Nothobranchius furzeri: one gene and its partners. The protein of the gene in region 1 binds, or shares a complex with, the protein of each later gene. Links are inferred from orthologs where the notes say so. Each region holds a gene or a part of one and is shown on either strand. Other genes may lie near its edges.

Region 1 (3,900 bases):
CCCAGGCAGGTGGGAGTGAGGAACGGGATGTTTTTTGGCAAAGCGAAGCAGCTGTGCCCCTCGTTGCAGGCTGTTTCTTATGACTTTGAGGCTTATAGAGAGGTGGCTCTAAACATGTATGAGATCCTAGCGAGGTAAGAAAGCTGAAATCCTTCAAATCATCACTTTGTTTTTTGTTTGTTTGTTATTGACTTGATAACTTCATGAAATGCAGTTACACTCGTGACATAGAGGCTCTGAGCTGTGACGAGGCGTTGGTAGACGCTTCTGCTCTGCTCGCTGAGGTAGGAGTCGGCCCGGAGGATTTGGCCAGAGCCATCAGAGCAGACATCGAGAAGAAAACAGGATGCTGTGCTTCAGTGGGGATGGGTGAGCCAGGGTTCTTCCTCTAGAATATTTTGTATATTTAGTTGTATTTAATCAAACTGTGATCTGTTCAGGGTCTAACATTCTTTTGGCTCGGCTGGCGACCCGTAAGGCCAAACCCAATGGGCAGTACTTCCTTAAATCTGAAGAAGTGGACGATTTTATCAGGGATCTACCAGTTACCAGTTTACCAGGTTAACGTTTCATCCGGCTCACGAGTACTAACCTGTTAGCATTTGTGAAGTAGTTAACAGTTGCTGTTTTCTAGGGGTTGGTCGTGCTATGGCTAAAAAACTTGCCGGTATGGAGGTGACGTCATGTGGGGACCTCCAGCACGTTACTCTGTCTCAGCTGCAGAAAAGGTTTGGACCGCGTACCGGACAAACCCTGTTCCGGTTCTGCAGGGGCTTGGACGACCGGCCTGTTCGCTTTGAGAAGGAGAGAAAATCGGTGTCGGCTGAGATGAACTACAACATTCGTTTCACCACGGTTGGTCCTGCTCTTCTGCTTTGCTCTTCGTTTCGTAACAGCCGTCATTTCTAAATGTGCAGCTTTAAAACTCACCAGGTTGATGAGACGGAAAGTTTCCTGACCAGTTTATCCACGGAAGTGCAACGGCGTTTACAAGAAGCGGGGCTACGCGGTCGGAGAGTCACGCTTAAGGTCATGGTTCGTAAAGCAGGAGCGCCGCTGGAGCCGGCTAAATATGGAGGCCACGGCATTTGTGATAATCTGGCAAAGTGAGAAAGATCTGCATCAGCCCGCCTGTGGGTTTTTGTGCTTTTCTTGACTCGTTTTACTTCTCACCAGGACTGTGATGCTCGCTCAGTCCACCGACAGCGGTCAGCTGATCGCCTCTGCCGTTATCAAGCTGTTCCATGCCATGAAGCTGCAGGTTCAGGACTTGAGAGGAGTTGGGATTCAGGTTCAGCTTCTTGAAGGAAATCAGTCTGTTGCACGGGACTCCCGGGTTCCTCAGTCGCACTCCATCAAAGACTTGCTGTTAGGGCCGGGTCCGAGTGCCAAACCTGGTAACAAAGGTTAGTTTGGTCTGTGATGTTTAGTTTTTGCCACCGTAGTCTAGAGTCCTGAATATGTTTTGGTTAATTGGTCCAAATCCTGCAGACGCTCTCCAGGATCAGCCTTCCCGTTCGTCCGCTCCCTCACGAGGCTCTCCACCAAATCTTCGGGCATCACCTGAGCCAGTTCCAGGAACAAGCAAAGACTTTCCAGGTTGCAGGCAAACACCAAAACATTCTCACTCACATCTCAACGTCAGTATCGAAGTCCCGTCGCCGTCGCAGGTAAAGAGGATCTGATGATGCAGAAGAACTGATCAGAAACAGATGTTTTCTCTCTCCTCCCTTTCTCTGTAGCTGCTATTTTATCTTCCAAAAAACATTATTTTTTACACTTTATTTTCTTTTGAAAGTTTCCCAAGGTGTCCATAATCTATCTCATAAGCTTCATATGTGTTTCTGAATACTTCTTAAGGTGGACCGTTCTGTCTTGGAGGCCCTTCCAGCAGAGCTGAGGGAGCAGGTGGAGCGGTCGTGGAGTAGGAGAGACGACAGACCAAATAACTGCCATCCAGCTGATCTGCAGCCCTCCTCACCTAATCCTCGTTCAACGTCCCCTCCTCATCCTGCACTTTACTCTCCACCCGCTGGAACGTTGCTTCTGCAGATTCCAAACCAGCCCGACAGTCCGGGAATTGTACTGGAACTACCAAACTTCTCACAGGTTCAAGCGCAGCTGTTTTGTGAACTAGACCCGGATAGAAGAACCGTATGCGTGAATAGTGACCTTAAACGGTCTTTAGCAGATTTCCTTTTTCTGACTGCAGGTTGATCCTGATGTTTTCGCTGCACTTCCCAAAGAGCTCCAGGAGGAGCTGAAGTCTGCTTACCACCGAGCTGCAAACCTCCCCCCCCAGGTGAATGCAGGTGAGTTGACTCCAGAACACCTTTGAGTTTTGCCTGCATGCTTTTTGTCATCCTGACCCACGTTGTTGGACCCTTTGGTTCAGCTGCAGTGGAGCAGAAGAATCCACTGTTGCAGCTAAAGCAGCCAGGGCCAGGAACCGGCGTCGGTCCGGCCAAGCGGCGCTACAAGAGGAAGAATGTAGTCAGTCCGGTCAAAAAAGGGACTTCGCCTGTAAAGAGGCAGCAGGGGACCCACAGTCCAACCAAAACCGCATCCCGTCCTGTAAGATCACAAGAACTAATGAATGTACCAAAGGTGAGTCTAATGTGAAAGATCAAGTTGGTTTTATTTGTTTTCTGTTTGAACTCATGCACGTTTCTCATTCTCAGACTGAAAATGAGCCCTCAACCTCAAAGCAGGACATCCCAGCACCTGTGACTGATCCGGTTCCTCGTCCTGTTCCTGCCCTGGCTGGAGCCTGTGAGCTGACAGATATTAAAACACTCCTGCGAGAATGGGTCACCACAACAACAGGTACAGATGTTTTAAGTGACGACTCGTGTATTTTTAAATAGCAAAAATAGGTTGTTTCATTTTTTTTATAAGGAGGTCTTGCTTTCAATTAGATCCAAAGGAGGAGGACATTCTGCACGTGGTGAAGTACTGCACTGATTTAGTTGAAGACAAAGATCTGGAGAGGTTGGATTTGGTGATAAAATGTATGAAAAGGTCAGTTCTGCTCAGTGTCGCCTTTTCTGTTCATCTTCTTGTTTTTAAATATGTTTTCTACATTTAGCGCTGAAATGTTTTCCTGCAGGCTCATGCAGCAGTCCGTGGAGTCCATCTGGAGCACGGCGTTTGACTTCATCCTGGACATCGTGCAGGTTGTAGTGCAGCAAGCGTATGGTAGCATCCTGAAGATAACGTAAAGACAACCTTCTGGGTGTGGTTGTTACACCACCTACTTTCCCCCCGTTTTGCAAACTCATCCATCCAACAAAGTGAGATTTAAATTTTTTATTAATTTGTTCTCAACTGTAGATAATGGCTTACAATAATCACATGATAAATACAGGCAGTGAGAGATAGAGCCATTACAACAAAATAAAACCATGCATTTTTGTACTTTTTTCATTTGCAAGCAATTCAATGTACAGGGCAATAAAGGTTCTCAGTGCTTTTTCACCATAGCCCAACTTTAAGGAAGACTTAGTATTTCTTTTCATATTTCTGTTTACTTTTATACAGGCTTTCATATTCTTGGTGATTTGCTAATGGAGTTCACTCCTTTTTGATGCACATATTAGTTGTAAAATACAGTTGATCTTGTTTAAATTTGAAACAACTATCAGTTAAAAAGTCTGTTTCTCTGGTAGCACTCCTCAGGCATCATGCATCAAAACAACCTCAGAAATAGTCAGACAAAAAGACAATATTCATTCGTTCTTTTGGTGCTCTAGCACCTACCTGTGAATTTTCTGCAGCTGCTGCATACAGCTGCATCTTTTTCCTCTTTCGAAAAAGTGCCAAACTTTGTTATAAAGTGTAAATAATGTTTTTAAAAGGTCTTTGTGAAGCGTTTTAAAGAGAGCTGTACGTGGAGGAATT
Region 2 (2,903 bases), on another chromosome or scaffold:
CATAGACAGCTGTCTCAGCGAGGCTGCAGGAAAGCCCAACAGAGTTTCAGGCGCAGAGTTCGACCTGGAGACTGAACATCAAAAAAGCAAGACGGTGCACAAACAGAGCAGAGAGGTCGAAGAGCTGCCAGTAAACGGCGAGGAGTTGAGCAGAAGCGTTCCTCAGGAAGACAGCCCCAAGAACAATTCCGTTCCAAAGGTTTTGCTGAGTGAACACGAGCAGAAACCCGTCACCTTGCAGGGGCATCAGTCAGGTCCGGTTCTTATCTGCCCCGTGTGCTACTTGACCCAAGAAACGGATGACCTCACCATCTTCAACCGGCACGTTGACCTCTGCCTGAACCAAGAGGTCCTGCATGAGCTCAGAGGTCAGACGACATTATCCATAAAACCCTCTGTGGGTAAAAATAGCAAAGGTAAGCGTGTGTTTATTCTCCACCAGAACCAGCGATATTGGACTTGTAATGTTTAAGAAAACACAAAAAAAGAGCAGGTGTGTCTTTTTTTCTGCACAGCATCGTTAAAAATTGTCCATAAACTGTAGGTGTTTGATTTCTTCGGAATGAATTGACGTATTATCTATTTCGAGGGTTGTCGGTGACCTATGACCCCGTTGTTTACTGACTGTGACATTGTATGAGGAGTTTGTATTGATTCAGACAGCAAGCAGACATCTCATTTCACCCCCTCTGACCCGGTTTGGGAAATGGCTAAATCACTTTCTCACCTATTTGCTTTCCTACAATCACCCAAAGCCTGGTTTTCTCTTAAACCAACTCACTTTTGGAATTGCTGTCTTTATGTTGCTGAAAGATCAGAAACATCTGTGTTCCTCCTCGGGAAATGTCTAATTCTTTTTTGGGGATGGAGAAAGGAGTTTATTTTTTCTTTTTGTTTTTAGACAGTGGACTCCATCTGCAAAGACACGCCAGTAAAAGTAAAAACAAAAGGTGAGACGGGTCGATTATTGCTTTAAAAACAAGGCGTTTCTACATTTTCATATTTTTCTGTAGTAATAAATACAATTTTTACTAATAATGTTTCATTGGTGTGTATTTCTCAGAACTGACACGCCTTCCTTTCCCCCGTCTAAAAAACCCAAAAGCCTCGGAGTCTGCAACACCATCGATAAGTTCTTCAGGTGACGGTGACCCACGAACATCAGTCCACATCTGGATGAAGGCTGTTATTTATTGGAAGTGGAGCACTTGCACAAACCAAGATGGCAACTTGTTTATTTTAATTCTTGGAAAATATTTTTTTTTAAATTCCAGATTTTGTGGCTAAATGAGGCTAATGCCATTTTATTTATGTGTGCTTAACTAAACACAAGGATAAGTAAAACTTGCTTGTGATTTTACAGTTTATAATTGTTTTTAAATAATTTCATGTTATTTTTTAAATCTATATTGATATTTTTAATAATGAAGACTGCCCAAGTCAATATTTTGGTCAGGAAATTCCACGTGTGTTTTGATAAGATAAAAATCCACCTTTTTAGAACCTACTGCACACCTTTGTGGTGTAAGTATAGGAAAGCCAGCTTGCATAAGCTTAAAGTAGCCTACAACGATGCATTTAGGACTCTGCTAGGGAAGCCTCGGTCCTGTAGTGCAAGTCTTTTATTTTGTAATGCTCATGTCAGGACCTTCCAAGCCATAATGAGGAATTGGCTCTACAGGTTTATCTTGCGATTGAAGAACTCTTAAGAACAGACTTGTGCAGATGCTGGTTGATCCCCATTTTAGTGCAGTGCGTTACCAGTCATCCATGTGGAGACGCTGGTATGCATGTCTTTTATACAGGGTATCTGCTGGTCCTTAAAAAGTTTTAAAAAGTCTTAAATTTGCTTTTACAAATTTAAGGCCTTAAAAATCCTTAAAAATGACAAATAATCCTTAAATAGTTTCCAAAGGTCTTAAATTACCAAAGACCCAGTAAACAAGATTCTCTTATTTCTATAAAATTTTCGTGAATTTCTAGTTAGTGCAGCATTTTTTGTGTATGATGTTGGCGTAAGCGGAACCGTACACATTTGGTTGGTTGTGAAAGGGGCTATTTTTAGATGAGCATGCTAGTGGGAGTTTGCGCCATGGGAAGTGCAACATTAATGGTAACTAGATGGCTAATCCCATGTTCACGACGCGGTTAGCACCGGTTCCAGGCAATATGGAAATTATAGCTTAAATTTTATTATAAAAATAGCTTAAATTTGGTCAAAGTGGCCTTAAAAAGGTCTTAAAAAGTCTTAAATCTGGCTCCCTTAAACCTGCAGATACCCTGTTTATAATCTTTTGTATCATTTTTATGTCTCTTATAGTTAATGTGGACCTTGAGTCTGATAATAAAGTTGAATTGAATTGAATTGTAATAAATGTTTGAATTCTCTCTTTTGGAGAATATGTTCTTTGTTTGTGAATTGGTGGTTTCAGATTGAAAGAAAGAAAATAAAACCCCAGTCAGCCGACAAGTTAAACTTCTACTAGAGCGCTGCGCTAATCTTCCTAAATCTTCCACCTCCATCAAAAAAGTCAACAATATAAACCGGAGCTATCCCTCCTTCTTTCCATATACACTCTTTTATGGGTGTGAGTTGGTAAAGTAAACATTCAGCCTTCAGAAGCTAGCCCGTCGCTTCATTTATATGTTAGAAGGTTCTCAACAGAAGCTGTGAAACAGCAGAAATAGGATTTTTAAAGAGAAGTTAACATCTTCCTTATGGAAAAAAGAGTTGTAGCTTTGAAGACTTTGATCAAGGAGAAGAAGAACACTCTGGATCCTCAAAGATGGGTACAAACAGAAACTATCAGAGGGTTTGCTGACTTTATTCATAAGAAGCAAACAGACAAAGAGACCGACGACAGCTTCGACAGCAAAGAGATGTGTGAGTATGAAACAAAAAT
Region 3 (2,771 bases), on another chromosome or scaffold:
AAAAAGTCAGCCGTAACAGATCATTGCTTAAGAGAAAACCATATAATGGACTGGGACAACACACGGATCATAACCACCGAACAACAAAAATACAAAAGATGGATCAAGGAAGCAATCGAGATAATGAGACGTGGATGTGGGACCATGAACAGGGACGACGGAGTTTACACGCTGGACCACGCATGGGACTGCATCGTCGGAGAGGGGAGAGCGGGCAGTAGAGCCCCCCCCCCCCCCCCCCCCCCGATGTGGTCGTTTATCGCACAGAAGACCCAGACAGACGTCAACGACTGAAATCCAGGAGAGATTCATCTGAAGACATCTGTAGTCTTCATGTGGATTGTGTTCCATCAGGTTCTGTTCCAGAGGTTTAATTCTTAAATATTTGAAGCCTTTTTCTCCAAATGTTGCACCAAGCTACATTTCCCGTCTGCAGCTTTACGATTTCTAAGAGTTAAAACAAGCAGGTCTAACTAAACCATTTACAAGAAAAATTCTCTCTCTCAGATTTATTATTTATTAAAAAGACAATAATTCACAGCTGAGGACTGGACAAAAGCAAAAAACTGTGTGTGTGTGTGTGTGTGTGTAAATAAGGAGTCAGTTGTGTCAAAAAGTCATCAAACAGAAATGTCCAACATGATCTGGTGTCATTTCTTCTGGAAGAAGCCCGTGATGGAAGCCTGCTTGGTTCCTTTATGTGAGCTCGATGAAGACTTCTTCTGACTCTTCTTCACTTCCTCTTTGCTGCTCGATGGAAGTTTGGCTTTAGCGTCTCTTGGAGCGTTTTTGGGAGCTGGAACGTCATCCTCGGTCTCAGAATAAGATTCACTTACGTATTCTTTTTCTGTCACTGAGGAGAAACAAAACCCAGTTACATCAACGCAAAAACGCCCGCCCTGACCTACTGCTGGCTTTGGTTACGCTTTTAAATACTTTTAATAAACTTTAAGGTTTATTTAACTGCTTGGTTCATAAATGAAAATATTATTTCATTTTTAAAAAGGAAGTGCCAGATTTCTTTTGTGTGAAAACAAATCAGAAAAAGATGTTTTTCAACATTTGCACATTTCTAGGACACCAGCATAGGAGCTTATTTTAAAACTCAAAGGTCGTAATAATAGTCTCGTTTTTTTTACATATTCGACCAAACTAATTAAAAGATTGCTGCAGGACTAACAGCGTTAATAAAAATGCAGATACCCATGCATCCCTCTTCATCCAGAAACACGCGAGGCTTCAGGACGCGTCTCCTCTTCCTTATTTTCGTCTCAGAATTCCCCTAAAATAAAACCAAACATCATTAAATGAATGAATGAATGAAGTGATGTTTACTAAATATGTGATGCTTATTTAAACTTCAACACACCTGTGAAAGTTGAACAGTCGCTTCCTTCTTAAGAGGACTTGGCTCTCTTGTTTCCAGCGGCTGTGGAGAATCTGGAATAACTGGAAGAAAAAAGAAAATTATTTTTTCAAGGACTTCAAAAATTAATTAGATCTAATATTTACAATCAGGGACACCAAAACAACAAAACTCTCAGAACTACTGCTCTCCAGCCAGTGATGTTTCTGAAACGAACCGTCTTCATCGCTGCTGTCTGGTTCGGGTCTCTTGATTCGTCGCCTCTTTTTTTTTTCCATTTTCTCTTCCTCACTATCAGATGCTTCGATTCGTTTACTTTTGCTGTAATAAAAGAAAAAAAAAGTCATCTTTCACTAAAACACCTTTCGTGGTCTATAAAACAAACGAGTCCTCTCCTGAAGTCGTTCCCTTTTCCCTCCTGGTTTTGAACACAAACCTCCTGGAATCCGTCTTCGTGTCTTTTTGTGGCTCAACGGCTGCAGGTTCTTGTTTTTCTACTGGAGGTGAACTTTGACCCCTCTGCCCTACCGCAGCAGATGACTGAACCTCCTTTAGAGGTTTGTCGGGTTTCTCTGAAGACAAAAAATAATATTCTCACCAATATTGAGTACTTTTATATTATTAAGACAACTAAAGGTTGGGGAGTGAATATTTGCTTTGCTCTTGTGTTCATTATGACAACTATAAATTGGAATAAATGCTATTTGATATTTTTTCTGTGTACTTGTGCTGCTATACATGAACAACTATGTGGAAACATGTTAATACACACAAAACGACCCCACAAAAGAGAAGAGTTACAGTTAAGATGAAACATCTTGTTGGTTATTTGGGAAAAAAAAAGAACTACTTTGTTGTTTTAAGATAATAAAATCTGAAATTTGTGGCCCTTTTTAGATTTAAAACAAATGAAAAATGTTTAAAAACAGATGAAAAGTATGAGTTAAAAGGCCATTTTATCCTTAAACAACAATCTGTCAACATTACTGTTAAAATATAAATATCTATAAACATATAAATATACCGATATCAATCTGATACGATACCAGCACAAATCATACATACATACTTTGACTTATGTCGTAGTGTGGAAAGAATGAAAGGCTTGATCAAGTGATATTACTCAATCCGAGAACAAGAGCCAGCAACAGTAAGTATGAAAAAAAAAATGACAATTTTTTCTTAACCATTGTTTGCAAAAATGTGAACCTTATCGAACTGCTTATATCGGATTAGGGTTGTCACGGTATGAAAATTTAACCTCACGGTTATTGTGACCAAAATTATCACGGTTTTCGGTATTATCGCGGTATTTTTTAAACGGTGTTGCATATGTTCAGAAAGCATTGATAGTCCTGTTCTACACAAACTGAAATAGTTTTGAAAAGGTTTAACAGTGTTTATT
Region 4 (2,650 bases), on another chromosome or scaffold:
CTGAACTGGGGCAGCACTTTGGAGAAAAAACGGGGTGAGAAAATGCAGTTTCACAGGATTACTGGCGAATAAAAGGTCTACTTGTAGGACAGTTCGAGACTAGATTTAGAGATTTGGGACTTTGGGGTGTGAAAATAAAACATAATTCAAATAACCATTTTAAGTTTTCTGACAGTCTGGTTGACATTTTTCACACAGAATTGTATTTATTTGAAATGGACCTTAACTGCTGACATGTTTTTTAAATTCTCTATGACCAACATAACGCTGCAGCCAGTGGCTGTTTGACCTGTGTCGGGGGATCGAGTTTGAACCTGTGAAACCCAGACAGCTTCCCAAGTCCATTGGCTGCAGTAAAAACTTTCCCGGGAGGACGTCACTGGCTACTAAGGATCAGGTACAGGACTGTCAAAAGTATTTCAACATAATCTGTTACTCTCTGAAAGGTTTATGCCTCTGACGTGGGGGGAAAAGACACCAGAACTATGAGAAATGTCATTATTTAGTTCCATTTATTATTTGCAAAGATTGTCCTGATGCTGAAATCAAACCTCCGTGTAGGTGCAGTACTGGCTTCATCAGCTGGCCCTGGAGTTGGAGGAGAGGCTGGCCAAAGACAAAGAAGTGGTGAGAATTATTTAAATGTAATCGCTTTTTTTCATTACAGCTTGGCTCGTTGTGTCCTCGTATTCCTGTAGCACGCCACTAGTCTCACACCCGTGTTTTCTGGCTGCACTACAGAATAATCGTGTGGCAAAGCAGCTGACGGTTGGCGTGCGTCAGCTTGGCGATAAGCGGCCGACCGGCTTCTCTCGATGCTGTGCTTTAGCACGCTACGAGGCGACCAAAATATCAAGTGACAGCTTTGCTCTGATCAAGAGTCTCAACAAAGCAGGAAACCACCAGGCTGCGTGGTAATTAAAGAGCGATGACGTAAAAGGCTGATGTATGTTTTGAGGGAATGCTGCATGATTTAGATCATGTGTCTGACATGTTTCCAGGTCTCCCCCCCTCACCCTGCTACACATCTCTGCTAGTAAATTCAGTGATGCTCCGTCTGCTGGGGGGATTGCTGGATTTCTGTCCAGTGAAGGAACTTCAACCCAGACTCTGTTCTCCTCCACCCAGCCATCCTGTGACGTAAAAACAGAGCCTCCATGTAGTCAGCATGGTACCATTCAGTCCTTCTTTCAAAAAGCAGCTGGAAAACAAAAGCAAGTTAAAAGCGACACAGAAGAGGAAGTTCTCCCGCCTTTTGTTGGCGATCAATCTGACACCGATTGCCAGCTGGAGATGGCAAGTGACTCACAAAAATCTCCTTTCAAAAGTGTCTCCCACTCTAAAACTGACTCTTCTAGCTCCCATCCTGGCATCTCCTCTTTCTTTCATAGGAAGAGTCTTGAAAAAAGCTCTAACGTGTCTTCAGGTCACAATGATGCATGTGCCGGTAGAGGCACTGATGCTTTTGCATCTGGCCAGCAGTTAAAAATGATCCCAGAGTTAATACCAACACAGTCACAGGAAGAAGAGGTAAGGGAGGAACCGGAAAGCCATCTGGACAGTACTTCTAGTGCGCTAGGAGGAGACCTTTTAAAGTGTGAACGTTGTGGTGTAGAGGTTCTGGTGTGGGAAATGCCTGAGCATCGTGACTATCACTTCGCCCTGGACCTCCAGAATTCACTGTCTTCATCTACAAATTCAGGAAGCTTGCCTCCAAATCTAACCGTCTCATCTTCCTCCAGTGGTTCTCCATCTGCTCGGTCGTCCCGAGGCAAAACAAAAACCAGAGGTCAGTCAGGTCCTGCACCAAAGAGACAACGCTCACTAGGGGGCAGTGTGGGTACTCTAGATGCTTTCTTCAAAAAGAACTAAACATTTAGGGCATGAGTATTTATTTCTGAACATTGTGTATATATATATTTACACACACACACACACACACACACAAAGATGTTTTTATATTATCTTTACCAGAGGAAAGCCAGACAACCAGAATACAACAAGACTTGTTTTGAATCAGTTGTTTTTGTGCTTCATGAGGATATTAACATGTGTATTTTGGGTCCTATTTTTAATTTAAAAGGGCATTTCTAGTTGTTGAGCTTTATTTTGTAAACCTGTACAGATAAAAAATATTTTCAACTTCATGCAGAGAGTGTGTTGTAGTGTTCTGGCGTAACAGCAGATGGCAGTAGTGTGCAGACGAGTGTGGTTCAGGAGTCGGTGTGAATCTTGATTACAAATTCAAGACGCAGTTAGTCTTTGAGATAACTTGTAAAGTCAAATTAAATGAGTCATTCCTACACGGTCCTTGGACAATTAGTTGATCAGTTCTTCTAAATGTAAAAGGCAGCTGCCCAAACACCACCAATCCCCCCCTAAATCCTCCAAAAGCAGTAAGGGAATCAATCCTAAAGCTCCAATCTGGTGTCATCAATTCTGACATTAAGTCAAATTAAAAAGTACAAAACACCTTTGCAGAAAGAAAGTTTTAGTTTGATTTCAGTCTCTAGAAACACACCATGCAATGTATTGGAAAGACCACGTATGTTTCATCTCAGAGGAGATGGACCTGCGGTGTTTTTAGGGACAAAAATTTAAGTTTTAGATCATTAAGAGGAAACGACACAAAACTACAATTTACCAGCTT

Evidence for each region. The genes of interacting proteins can lie anywhere in the genome.
Region 2: the proteins of rev1 (region 1) and polk are in contact, whole or in part, in an NMR structure (PDB 2LSI), measured with the Homo sapiens proteins. The link is inferred for Nothobranchius furzeri from reciprocal best matches to the Homo sapiens genes REV1 and POLK. Residues at the interface, in NP_057400.1 of Homo sapiens: Asn1158, Leu1159, Ala1160, Gly1161, Ala1162, Asp1167, Leu1171, Leu1172, Glu1174, Trp1175, Thr1178, Ile1179, Met1183, Glu1185, Asp1186, Gln1189, Val1190; in NP_001374042.1 of Homo sapiens: Lys564, Lys565, Ser566, Phe567, Phe568, Asp569, Lys571, Arg572, Arg575.
Region 3: the proteins of rev1 (region 1) and pold3 are in contact, whole or in part, in an NMR structure (PDB 2N1G), measured with the Homo sapiens proteins. The link is inferred for Nothobranchius furzeri from reciprocal best matches to the Homo sapiens genes REV1 and POLD3. Residues at the interface, in NP_057400.1 of Homo sapiens: Asn1158, Leu1159, Ala1160, Gly1161, Leu1171, Leu1172, Glu1174, Trp1175, Ile1179, Met1183, Glu1184, Glu1185, Asp1186, Gln1189, Val1190; in NP_006582.1 of Homo sapiens: Gly232, Asn233, Met234, Met235, Ser236, Asn237, Phe238, Phe239, Gly240, Ala242, Ala243, Met244.
Region 4: the proteins of rev1 (region 1) and polh are in contact, whole or in part, in an NMR structure (PDB 2LSK), measured with the Homo sapiens proteins. The link is inferred for Nothobranchius furzeri from reciprocal best matches to the Homo sapiens genes REV1 and POLH. Residues at the interface, in NP_057400.1 of Homo sapiens: Asn1158, Leu1159, Ala1160, Gly1161, Leu1171, Leu1172, Trp1175, Ile1179, Asp1181, Pro1182, Met1183, Glu1185, Asp1186, Gln1189, Val1190; in NP_006493.1 of Homo sapiens: Thr528, Glu529, Pro530, Phe531, Phe532, Lys533, Lys535, Ser536, Leu539.

Annotation. Positions count from the first base shown.
Region 1 is NC_091754.1:26,368,407-26,372,306, reverse strand, and holds the end of rev1 (DNA repair protein REV1), read left to right. Parts: intron 1-5; coding exon 6-134; intron 135-214; coding exon 215-369; intron 370-440; coding exon 441-560; intron 561-634; coding exon 635-855; intron 856-933; coding exon 934-1,106; intron 1,107-1,176; coding exon 1,177-1,406; intron 1,407-1,491; coding exon 1,492-1,670; intron 1,671-1,860; coding exon 1,861-2,109; intron 2,110-2,212; coding exon 2,213-2,312; intron 2,313-2,395; coding exon 2,396-2,607; intron 2,608-2,681; coding exon 2,682-2,826; intron 2,827-2,918; coding exon 2,919-3,021; intron 3,022-3,109; coding exon 3,110-3,221; 3' UTR 3,222-3,384; downstream 3,385-3,900. UniProt on the Homo sapiens protein: Deoxycytidyl transferase involved in DNA repair. Transfers a dCMP residue from dCTP to the 3'-end of a DNA primer in a template-dependent reaction.
Region 2 is NC_091757.1:44,354,116-44,357,018, reverse strand, and holds the end of polk (DNA polymerase kappa), read left to right. Parts: coding exon 1-416; intron 417-901; coding exon 902-950; intron 951-1,063; coding exon 1,064-1,145; 3' UTR 1,146-2,400; downstream 2,401-2,903. Other genes in the region: ankdd1b (ankyrin repeat and death domain-containing protein 1B), read left to right, coding at 2,719-2,884. UniProt on the Homo sapiens protein: DNA polymerase specifically involved in DNA repair. Plays an important role in translesion synthesis, where the normal high-fidelity DNA polymerases cannot proceed and DNA synthesis stalls.
Region 3 is NC_091751.1:39,609,112-39,611,882, forward strand, and holds the end of pold3 (DNA polymerase delta subunit 3), read right to left. Parts: intron 1,939-2,771; coding exon 1,803-1,938; intron 1,688-1,802; coding exon 1,584-1,687; intron 1,450-1,583; coding exon 1,370-1,449; intron 1,283-1,369; coding exon 1,204-1,282; intron 854-1,203; coding exon 651-853; 3' UTR 504-650; downstream 1-503. UniProt on the Homo sapiens protein: Accessory component of both the DNA polymerase delta complex and the DNA polymerase zeta complex.
Region 4 is NC_091752.1:33,815,973-33,818,622, forward strand, and holds the end of polh (DNA polymerase eta), read left to right. Parts: coding exon 1-34; intron 35-273; coding exon 274-397; intron 398-561; coding exon 562-627; intron 628-741; coding exon 742-914; intron 915-1,001; coding exon 1,002-1,872; 3' UTR 1,873-2,147; downstream 2,148-2,650. UniProt on the Homo sapiens protein: DNA polymerase specifically involved in the DNA repair by translesion synthesis (TLS). Due to low processivity on both damaged and normal DNA, cooperates with the heterotetrameric (REV3L, REV7, POLD2 and POLD3) POLZ complex for complete bypass of DNA lesions.